Linked DNA regions of Xenopus tropicalis. The protein of the gene in region 3 purifies or fractionates together with the protein of the main gene of each other region. This does not show direct contact. Links are inferred from orthologs where the notes say so. Each region holds a gene or a part of one and is shown on either strand. Other genes may lie near its edges.

What was found.
Region 1: the proteins of ranbp2 (region 3) and nxf1 purify together in Homo sapiens (co-immunoprecipitation; 5 studies listed by BioGRID and IntAct, with this or other methods). This does not show direct contact. The link is inferred for Xenopus tropicalis from reciprocal best matches to the Homo sapiens genes RANBP2 and NXF1.
Region 2: the proteins of ranbp2 (region 3) and bicd2 purify together in Homo sapiens (affinity purification with western blotting; 3 studies listed by BioGRID and IntAct, with this or other methods). This does not show direct contact. The link is inferred for Xenopus tropicalis from reciprocal best matches to the Homo sapiens genes RANBP2 and BICD2.

The regions. Positions count from the first base shown.
Region 1 is NC_030680.2:36,504,840-36,508,488, forward strand, and holds part of nxf1 (nuclear RNA export factor 1), read right to left. Parts: intron 2,075-3,649; coding exon 1,964-2,074; intron 1,837-1,963; coding exon 1,778-1,836; intron 1-1,777.
Region 2 is NC_030680.2:150,841,969-150,846,306, forward strand, and holds the start of bicd2 (protein bicaudal D homolog 2), read left to right. Parts: upstream 1-1,478; 5' UTR 1,479-1,695; coding exon 1,696-1,938; intron 1,939-4,338. UniProt on the Homo sapiens protein: Acts as an adapter protein linking the dynein motor complex to various cargos and converts dynein from a non-processive to a highly processive motor in the presence of dynactin.
Region 3 is NC_030678.2:109,294,878-109,298,526, reverse strand, and holds part of ranbp2 (ranBP2-like and GRIP domain-containing protein 4), read left to right. Parts: coding exon 1-95; intron 96-307; coding exon 308-454; intron 455-1,414; coding exon 1,415-1,582; intron 1,583-2,443; coding exon 2,444-2,527; intron 2,528-2,835; coding exon 2,836-2,974; intron 2,975-3,649. UniProt on the Homo sapiens protein: E3 SUMO-protein ligase which facilitates SUMO1 and SUMO2 conjugation by UBE2I. Involved in transport factor (Ran-GTP, karyopherin)-mediated protein import via the F-G repeat-containing domain which acts as a docking site for substrates.

The DNA.
Region 1 (3,649 bases), on a different chromosome or scaffold from region 3:
CGATATCGGTCGACTCGCCGACATGCCATACACGCACCGATTATCGTACGAAACGAGGTTTCGTACGATAATATCGGTGCGTGTATGGCCACCTTTAGCCTAACAGCACTGATTAAAGATTGTGAATTGTTGACAGACAATCCCAGATATCACAACACAATGCACTATAATTTAATCTAAAAATACACTAATGTAATTGTTTGGCAATTACGTGAATACAAGCCACCCCGAGCGAGAACCATATCAATGAGCTGATGAGGTCGTTTGATAAGACAGAAAAAATTAAACCAGTCAAACATCTGCTTGATTTTTGGTCAAATATCAGTCAGATAGGCCCCATACATGGTAAAATAAGCTGCCAATTCTGTCTGAAGGGCCCAAACCATAATCTTATCAGCTACCTGTTTATGGACACCTTTAAGCTTAAAGGGGAAGGAAAGGCTAGTAAAGAGTTAATCTCAAGCTGCAGGCATACCTTCAGTTGTCTCAATAGTGCCCTTAAGTCTCCCCATATTTCAACTGGTTAGAAGATCTGAAGCCAAACAGGAAGAAAATACACTGAGCTGCGTAAAGAAAGTTCCCATAATGCCTCACTCCTGCACAGACACGAATACTAAGTGAACATGCTCAGTTAGACTATGAGTTAGCTTCCTGCTGATTGGCTCAGATCCACATTCCTAAGGGGGGGGAGAGAGTCCTTAGCATTCTTGAGGGAGGGGGGAGCAGGAGAGGGGAGAGAACAGAAAGCTGCGTGTCTCTGGCACAGGAATTACAGACCCAAATTATCCTTTTTCAGAGAAGTCAGTGCAGCGTTTCCGTGAGTGCTTATAGCTGTATTTACATAGACCTTTCTGATAAAGCTTACTTAGGGGGCAGATTTATCAAAACAGGAGTTCGAATCCCGAATGGGAAAAATTCGGATTGGAAACGAAAATTTCTGAAGGTCGCAAATATCACGAAAATGCTTACGAAAAAATCGTATTAGTCACGATAATATCGTATTGGCGATCTGAAAGTCACTGAATTTTTATACCAAACAATTGTAAACAGCGGCAGAGCCTTTCCAAAATTGTCGAGAATACACTCGAAGCGTTCGCATAAACGCTCCGAGCGTTTGGATCTTGGTAAATCTCCCCCTTAGTGTTTACCTTTATTTCTCCTTTGTCAAAGGGAACATAATAAGCAAATCTACACCTGGGCAGAATCAATGGCAAACAATGCTTTATTGTTTTACCTGCAGTCAGCTGCAAAAGAGCTAAACACTGATTGATTGCTGCCCAGGGACAAATTTGTCCAGTGTTTACACATAAATCCCAATGTGTATTTTCCATGTATTTTTCAATGCATTTCTGGGGTAAACCAATAACCTTCTCACCCATCACCTCTCAATAATTTCTTTACTGGTGGCAGACACAGCTACTTGCCTGGGGCAGCTTTCCATTTTAATGGAACAATTGCACTTAAAATGTACCACCCATTGAAAATGGATATTTAGACAACATTTCTGGCCACAAATTGCATCGGGTGATTGATGCGATTCTTGCCCAATGGCCAGCATTCTGTTGTTTGATCCAATAGTTGTGACCCACGGCCCTCAAGGTGGGCATATTGGGGAATGATCTGCACTTTAGTCAACCTTGCCAAACAAGTGGATCTTTACATGTATGGCCAGCTTTAGTCAGGTTCCAAGCTGCACCTGTTTAGAACCAACATCTCTGGGTGATCAATCATCAGGTTTTCTCTACAATACAGGAAAACAGCAAATGATTTAACTTACTTGGATCTCTGAGTCTTCTTATATTTCTGCTGTCCTTGAAATATTCTCCAAGACTACTCCTGTTCAAAGAGACAATTATATTTCAAACTAAATACTAACCTTTAATAACATGCATTTTCTTGTGCAACTCTGCTATTACAAACTGCAGAAATTGCTCAAGGAAAGAATAGAGAGAAAACAACAAACCTAGAAGGGTTCTGGCCTGGATTTGAAGGAATGCTCAGAGAGCAACATGCCTCATCATGATACACATTCAGAAGACCCTGCCTGTCTTCAGAATCATAACAGGCATAATACCTGAAAAACAGAAAAAATATTAGGAGAAAGTTGGCATGTGTTCATGTGATCAGGATCAGCTGTTTAGCTGGTAAAGAATGTGGGACACTGTGCATCTTTACCAGATGCAAAAAATAAAAATCAAATACTGCCTAAGCAAGCAGATGACAAGCTTGGTAGTGTCCTGAATTGTGGGAATTTTCCTTAAAGGAAAACCTTTTACCCCCCAAACAATGTAGGCCTCTATAAAAATATATTGCATAAACCAGCTTATATGTAAAACCCTGCTCCATAAAAATATACTTTTTAGTAGTATGTGCTATTGGGTAATCCTAAATAGAAAATTGCCATTTTAAGAATTAAGGGCCGCCTCCTGGGATCACAGGATTCACAGTGCACACAAACAAGCCAAGGCACACATACATGCTAGGCCCCATCAGCCAATGAATGGACAGTGTTCTGCCTTTTGCTCCCACACTACTTCCTGTTACAGTTAGAGCTGCATTATTTCTGGTCATGTGATCTGAGGGAGCAAACAGCCTGTCACTTAATGGTGGATCAAGGGAAAGGATGTAAAAGGGCAATATTTACTGATATAATATTCCAGTTTGGCGAGATTCTTTAATAGATCACTTAACGTAGTATAAACCATCAATATTCATTCTGGGGTATAGTTTTTTTTTTTTTAAAGGACATGTCAACTCCAAAAATAAATGTTTGTCTAATAAAAGAAAATATAATTCTAAGAAACTTTCCAACATACATTAAAAATTATTAGTACTTTAAAAGTTTTGGAAATGTAATTGTTTTTAAAAGTAACAACCAGGAGATCAGCAAATGCTGATTTCTATAATAATGTTTCAAGTGCCAGGCTCCTCCAGCAAGTCAGGTCTGTCAGTCTGCTAGCAGTTACATTGTTCCAAACACCAGAGCCAACAGGGCAGAGAATAGAAAATGACTGGCAAACACAACTTCTAATATGTATTATATACAAATAACTCTAAAACCATTACAAATATGCAATGAATGTATATTTTCAAAGTTGCTTAGAATTAAGTTTTCTTTTATTAGACAAAAAAATATTCAAGAGAGAAAAAGGGAGAATAATTTGGGCTACATCCAAGACTAACAGAACATATGTCCAATTCAAGATTGTGCCTGAAAACAAATAGCTGAAGATATTTTACCTCACACTGACCCATGGGGAAAAGTGTCGGTGGAAAGGCCTTTCTATCAGTAAAATTACTCTAAACAGCCTCCAGAATTACCTACCTTTGTCCCAGCATTCTCTCTGACCTGGTTCCTCAGTTAGAAGGCGATTGTTTTTCTTTACTTCCTTGTGCAGAGTGAAGCCCTGCCCCCACTCTCTGTTCAGTTCTCTCTACCTGTAGTCGACCTGGAGACCCTTCTGCGCATGACTGGAGTCAGCAGAAGCCAGTCTGTGGATTAGCAGTTTTTTTTGTTTTTTTTTATGAGAGACCTGAACAGGAAGTGGGGGTGGGGCTTCACTCTGCACAAGGAAGCAAAGAAAAACGATCACCTTCTGACTGAGGAACCAGGTCAGAGAGAATGCTGGGGACAAAGGTAGTTAATTCT
Region 2 (4,338 bases), on a different chromosome or scaffold from region 3:
AAAAACAGACCAACTGCAAATTGTCTCAGAATATCACTCTCTACATCATACTAAAAGTTAACTCAAAGGTGACCAACCCTTTAACCCCTGGCTGACCAGACTAGAATACAACAACTCTATGAATGATATTAACCTCACACAAACCAATGTCTAAAGGGGTAGTTCTTTATGTCACCCTCACTAACTTGTACCCAGCAGCACCCAGGCACCTTGGGGTTTAGCAGCGCTAGAGTGCAAGCTCTTGAGCACAGATATCTGTTACACTTGTTGCAAGGGGCTTCAGGATTTGTGCAACTGCAGAAACTTTTTCCCGACCCCTAACCCCCAAATTTTCCTAATGAAGATATTCCAGCCCCCACCCCAACATAAACAGGTCACTGAGGCCCAGCAGGGGGCGCCTCCCAGAGCCATTACTGTATCAGACTGGAATAAGGATTGTGGCACCAAATCAGTCCGTACTTGGCTGCCCGAATCTTCTGGGCTCCATTTTCCCTGCTAGGCCGGGCTGCCAGATTTATTTTCCCAAACCAGCCAAAGTCAGTGCTAAAATCAGCCCAAAACCAGCCAAAAGCCACTTTGAAAGTAGCCCAAATATAGCCCAATATGTGCAATGAAAAAGAATTCTAGAAAATAAAAGTATATATGGGAAAAGCTGCCTTTATAAAGCGTATAATCACTGCCCAGTTACTGGCATGGCTGTTTCCCTGCTCTCTGGGCCCAGTTACTGGGATGGCTGTTTCCCTGCTCTCTGGGCCCAGTTACTGGGATGGCTGTTTCCCTGCTCTCTGGGCCCAGTTACTGGGATGGCTGTTTCCCTGCTCTCTGGGCCCAGTTACTGGGATGGCTGTTTCCCTGCTCTCTGGGCCCAGTTACTGGGATGGCTGTTTCCCTGCTCTCTGGGCCCAGTTACTGGGATGGCTGTTTCCCTGCTCTCTGGGCCCAGTTACTGGCATGGCTGTTTCCCTGCTCTCTGGGCCCAGTTACTGGGATGGCTGTTTCCCTGCTCTCTGGGCCCAGTTACTGGGATGGCTGTTTCCCTGCTCTCTGGGCCCAGTCCCTGCAGGTTATTGTAGTTTTGATGCCTCAGATTCAGCAGAGGAATAGAAAAGGGAGCTGCTGTCTATAATTGCATGCTGGGTATTGTAGTTTTATAGTCAGCCTAGCTGTAGGCCAATAGTAAAGATACAAACTACATTACCCAGCATGCACTGGGACAGACATGTCAGAGGGAAAACACTTTAGCTAGTTTCCAAACTACAAACCCGCCAAGGCGCCAAAAACGAACCCAAATTTGTACCTTGGCGGGTTTGTACTTTGGAAACCCTTCTGGGCTTTAAATTAGTAGTAATTTGGCGGAAAACCCGCCAACCCGGCAAACCCTGCTGCTAGGTCTCCCCTACCCCGACACTTTAATCACCCCACCCTTCCCCACTTCCCAGATGTTTTGCCCTTATCTTGGCCCCGCCTCCCTACTTTCCAGCGCTACTGAGCAAGCGCACTGCCCATCTCCAGCTTAGGGACCGTGTGCAAAGCGCTGTGCCCGTAAGAAGGCTGCGCCCAGTGCTTGTCAGATTGCTCCCTCCCTATCCGCCCCCGCTATTGCCAGACGTTCCCTGCGCACAGCCTGCAGTGGGGAATGCGGAGTCCGGGCTGGAGAGGGGGGATCGGTGCCAGGCTGAGCTGTGCCCGGGCACCATGGCACTGAACGCGGCGGAGGAGGAGGAGTACGAGCGGCTGGTGCTCGACTCCGGTCCCGAATGGCTACGAGCGGAGGTGCGGCGGCTGGTACGGGAGCTGGCGGAGACCTCTCGGGAGAAGATCCAGGCGGCCGAGTACGGGCTGGCGGTGCTGGAGGAGAAGCAGCAGCTGAAGCAGCAATACGAGGAGCTGGAGGGGGAGTGTGAGACCGCCCGGCAGGAACTGGAGCAGCTCAAGGAGGTACCGCCTGGGGCAATAACCGGCTTGGGGGGTATCCTGCTGGGGTAATAACCACTGGCAGGGGCACAATGTACCCCCCCCCAGGGAGAAGGGTATCCTGGGGCAGTTACTGGGAAAGGGAGAAGGGTATCCTGGGGCAGTTACTGGGAAAGAGAGAAGGGTATCCTGGGGCAGTTACTGGGAAAGGGAGAAGGGTATCCTGGGGCAGTTACTGGGAAAGGGAGAAGGGTATCCTGGGGCAGTTACTGGGAAAGGGAGAAGGGTATCCTGGGGCAGTTACTGGGAAAGAGAGAAGGGTATCCTGGGGCAGTTACTGGGAAAGGGAGAAGGGTATCCTGGGGCAGTTACTGGGAAAGGGAGAAGGGTATCCTGGGGCAGTTACTGGGAAAGGGAGAAGGGTATCCTGGGGCAGTTATTGGGAAAGGGAGAAGGGTATCCTGGGGCAGTTACTGGGAAAGGGAGAAGGGTATCCTGGGGCAGTTACTGGGAAAGGGAGAAGGGTATCCTGGGGCAGTTACTGGGAAAGGGAGAAGGGTATCCTGGGGCAGTTATTGGGAAAGGGAGAAGGGTATCCTGGGGCAGTTACTGGGAAAGGGAGAAGGGTATCCTGGGGCAGTTACTGGGAAAGGGAGAAGGGTATCCTGGGGCAGTTATTGGGAAAGGGAGAAGGGTATCCTGGGGCAGTTACTGGGAAAGGGAGAAGGGTATCCTGGGGCAGTTACTGGGAAAGGGAGAAGGGTATCCTGGGGCAGTTACTGGGAAAGGGAGAAGGGTATCCTGGGGCAGTTATTGGGAAAGGGAGAAGGGTATCCTGGGGCAGTTACTGGGAAAGGGAGAAGGGTATCCTGGGGCAGTTACTGGGAAAGGGAGAAGGGTATCCTGGGGCAGTTATTGGGAAAGGGAGAAGGGTATCCTGGGGCAGTTATTGGGAAAGGGAGAAGGGTATCCTGGGGCAGTTACTGGGAAAGGGAGAAGGGTATCCTGGGGCAGTTACTGGGAAAGGGAGAAGGGTATCCTGGGGCAGTTATTGGGAAAGGGAGAAGGGTATCCTGGGGCAGTTACTGGGAAAGGGAGAAGGGTATCCTGGGGCAGTTATTGGGAAAGGGAGAAGGGTATCCTGGGGCAGTTATTGGGAAAGGGAGAAGGGTATCCTGGGGCAGTTATTGGGAAAGGGAGAAGGGTATCCTGGGGCAGTTATTGGGAAAGGGAGAAGGGTATCCTGGGGCAGTTATTGGGAAAGGGAGAAGGGTATCCTGGGGCAGTTACTGGGAAAGGGAGAAGGGTATCCTGGGGCAGTTATTGGGAAAGGGAGAAGGGTATCCTGGGGCAGTTATTGGGAAAGGGAGAAGGGTATCCTGGGGCAGTTACTGGGAAAGGGAGAAGGGTATCCTGGGGCAGTTATTGGGAAAGGGAGAAGGGTATCCTGGGGCAGTTATTGGGAAAGGGAAATGCACCGCTGGGGCAGTTATTGGGAAAGGGAGATGGACCGCTGGGGCAGTTATTGGGAAAGGGAGATGGACCGCTGGGGCAGTTATTGGGAAAGGGAGATGGACCGCTGGGGCAGTTATTGGGAAAGGGAGATGGACCGCTGGGGCAGTTATTGGGAAAGGGAAATGCACCGCTGGGGCAGTTATTGGGAAAGGGAGATGGACCGCTGGGGCAGTTATTGGGAAAGGGAAATGCACCGCTGGGGCAGTTATTGGGAAAGGGAGATGGACCGCTGGGGCAGTTATTGGGAAAGGGAGATGGACCGCTGGGGCAGTTATTGGGAAAGGGAGATGGACCGCTGGGGCAGTTATTGGGAAAGGGAGATGGACCGCTGGGGCAGTTATTGGGAAAGGGAGATGGACCGCTGGGGCAGTTATTGGGAAAGGGAGATGGACCGCTGGGGCAGTTATTGGGAAAGGGAGATGGACCGCTGGGGCAGTTATTGGGAAAGGGAGATGGACCGCTGGGGCAGTTATTGGGAAAGGGAGATGGACCGCTGGGGCAGTTATTGGGAAAGGGAGATGCACCGCTGGGGCCGTTATTGGGAAAGGGAGATGCACCGCTGGGGGGGGGGGTAATTTGGATGCCCAGTGGCTTCAGGTGACAGGTCCCTGTCTGCCTCTCCAGTTACTGCTAAACGGGGTACATTGTGTCAGCTATTGCCAGTCAGGGGGGGCTGTGCCAGCTGTGGGGGCTAATTATGGCTAACTGGGGGTTCAGACTGTTGGGGGTACCAAATCCTGCCAAACGGTAGGTGCCAATATTGTGCCCAGGCTCTGCCAGTTACTCTGCAAGGATTGTTCTCAGATACTGCCCCTGCCTGTGGCCCAAACACTGCCCCCTGCCTGTGGCCCAAACACTGCCCCCTGGTATTGTGGGCATAACCCTCCTGTCAACTCAGCGGGCACGGAG
Region 3 (3,649 bases):
TTGCAACACTGGATTTAGTTGACGGAAAAACAGAGGATGCAATAATAGCATTTGATGCTGTTAAGAACGTTGTTGCCTATTGGAACCTTGCTTTGGTATGTGTTACTACTCTGCATCTTCTGTGTTTAGTTTGACACACTTCTGTTTTACATTAAAATTGCCTATATGTAATTTAATTTTATGAAAAAACTATCACAAGTAGCTGATGAACTGATGTGCTGGCTATAATGAAGCAGATGATATTATCAACACAGTATTGCTTTTAACCTGATGAAATAGAAATCTATTCTTGTAATTTTTTTTGTAGATATACCAGCGTAAGGCCGAAGAAATTGAAAATGATTGTTTGCCAGCAGAAGAACAGGAAGAGTTCCAGGAGTGCCTGCTTAAGTGCAAAGGCTATTTGAAAATGATTTGTGATGAATATAATGCTGATCCTTCCATTGCAACATTGGTAATAAGACAATTTGAATAAAAGGGCTATATGTTGATATTATTTAGATATAATATTATAGTTCTGTCGATAAAGTCTATACTTGCTAGTGTTTATCCATTAGTCCCCTAAATTACCCGGAGAGGCCCATTTATCAACATTCTGATTTTTGTCGTTTTAAGTTTTTTGAAACCACACAAAAAATTTGAGTTTTAGAGCAAGATGTCAACTTTATGGACATTGGTAAATATTAACAAGGCTTTGGCCTTTCTCCATCAAAGTGTTAGATTATCTGTGTGGCTAAAGACACAGAGCTGTTCATACATCCTGTTGGCTGGTCACAATTATAATGACTGAGGTGCTTACTGGTCCTTGTAATACCATAATCCAGCTCTAACTAACTCATTTCTTTGGTGACTTGGCCCAACGGCTAAAGTCTCTGAACAGCTAGTTAAGGTCCACCAATGAAGTAGGCAACTTGCTTAAAGATGACCTTACCAATTGGCATGCAGAACATAGTGTTTTCTGTATATTTGCTGATATTTCTTAACAATTCACACCAAGGTCTTGTTTGTCTTTAATGTGATCTAGAGAATATAGCGCTGAGCACACAACATGGCAGTGAGGCCTAAAGTAGTGTTGTCATGCATATAGAAGGTAAAAATAAGTTAGTTACATTTTCACTAAAATGCTTTCAATGCTGTCTTGTATATTCCAGATAGCTTCCTAAGAAGCTTCAGTAGTGGGTAAATACTGTAATACTTCAGTAGCAGGTAAATACTGTAGTTGTGTTTTAAATCTTTAAAATGGTGGCTGATTATTTAGAGTAGAAGCCAGTCAAGTATATTTATACTTAACATTGTTGTCATAGTACCGATGCCTTTACTGTGTGGAAATAAATATTCTTTGATATTGCTATAGATATTTGCAAGCAGAAATTCACTCTCAATTGTTAAACCGTAATATTTTGTTTTACTACAGTTGCCAGTTCCAGTTGAGACTGTGATTGAGATGCTGGAGTCAGTGAAGCAGAATCTTGGAGAAGCGATGGAAGATCGTAGCCTGGGCTTTGTGGAAAATCATTCAGCAATAAAACATTCCACACCATCACCCTCCAAGCTGTCCATATCGCCCAGCAAACCAACTCGGGTATTTTATTAAAAAAATGCAGCTGAATTTTGATTATCTACCTTTTCTTGTCAATGAATACAGTCTTATTTGCTTCATATAAGTGTATGTAGAAGCCAATGATGAAACAAATTGCTAGAGAAACTGTCCTGTTACTTAATTGCTCAGGATATTTCTTCTGGTGGCTTTGCTGTGGGTGTCAGGGAGAAGTGAGGTAGAGAGCATTGAATTAAGGGTAGTGGCTTTGCACATATGAGTCACATGTTTGCAAGGGATATGCTCATGTCATGGGCTGCAATGCCATTTCATTCATAGCAAGGCACAGAACGATTACACCAACTTTATACTTTGGGCTAACATACCCCTTTAAGAGAAGAGTGAATATATTGCAAAGCTTAATAAACCCAATAATTTATACAGCTAAATTGTATATTAATATGTAGGGTATTGCTGGAGATTTGCAATTAATATCCATAATTAGCTGGCAATTCTGATTAATAACCGAGAACCAGCAGCTGGTTTTGGGTTCCTTTTGTGCCCTTAGATGCCTACAGTTTGTTTAACATTTGTAAACTGTATGCAAAATTACCTCTAAAGTCAGTTTCTTAAAATTCTTTAGAAATAGGGTAAATTAAGGTGGTTTAATTGGTTACAATTTAACTCAAACTACTTATGTACCAGTATGTGATGTTCTTTTAAAGCTTTCATGGCAGCCCAAGGCAACTACAGCCCATTAGCAGTGGAAAATCTGTGCCTCCATAGATGCAAAACTATGCAAAAAAAAATTAGCTGGGAACAGAAAGTATACAATTAAATCCTGATTTTGTCAAACAAGAAGGTAGTGATAATAAAAACTGAACTATTTTATTTTTGTTTTTTTAGTTTTCTCCCAAAACGCCACCACGTTGGGCAGAAGATCAAAAATCTCTACTTGAAGTGCTCTGTAATAAAGTAGAAGCATTGAAGGTAAGGGGAGGTTAACATTTGTTTAATAAAAAGGTAACCAAAGCTTTTACTGTCTAGTGCCACTTAAGGGTGCCTACATGCAATCCTAACATGCTTTGTTCATGCTTGGTGGCCCTAAATTACATTCTACACTTATGTGGCTTTCCTCCAGTCCTGTTGCATAGAACTTATGGTGTTAAGCCTAATAACTTCTATACCTTCAGCTGTCACAGTTTCTGCTTTTTCTACAGCTACCATTCCTGCATTCCATACACATATTTATATGATGTACACTTTTACTTTTAATATTTTGTTATTTTGTCTTAAAGAAAGAAGTTCAAGAGCTGAAACACAACAATTCGAATGCAAACGCTTCCCCTCATAGATGGCCTAATGAAGGATTTGAGCCTGACAGTGTTGCTGATGGCTACCAAGGAACTCAAAGTTTCTATACAGTTCCCCTAACAGGTGAGGCATAACATATTATTCATTATTGTATGCTGCTTGGCAGTGAAAGGCTCCCTGACATTGTTTTGATTTTGAATTAAAGGAAAACTATACTTTCAGAAAGAATACTTAACCAACAGATAATTTATATTATAAGTGCCCTAATAAATAATCTTACCAAATTGCCATGTACATATCTGTACATGTGACCTTTTTACATCTTTTCCCCTTAAAGCTACCATTTTCTGATGTTTTGTGTGCTCTTTCAGTGATCACTTGACAGGAAATAATACAGCTTTATCTAACAACAGAAAGAAATAAGGTGGGGTTGAAATCTTTCACCTGCATGAATTTAAGTTTTGCAGGTGACAAAGGGTCTGGTTATTATCATTAAAGTTTATGATGGAACAGTTGCATGAATTTTGTTCGCCATAGCAGGCATATCCTTACCTTAAGTGCAGTTGAACATGATTGGTACAGGTATGGGAACCCTAATCCAGAATGCTCGGGACCTGGGGTTTACTGGATAAGCGACCTTTCTGTAATTAGGATCTCCTACCTTAAGTCTACTAAAAAAATTATTTAAACAGTAATTAAACACAATAGGATAGTTGTGACTCCAATACGGGTTAATTATATCTTAGTTGGGATCAAGTACATGGTACAGTTTTAATTTTACAGAGAAAAAGGAAACCA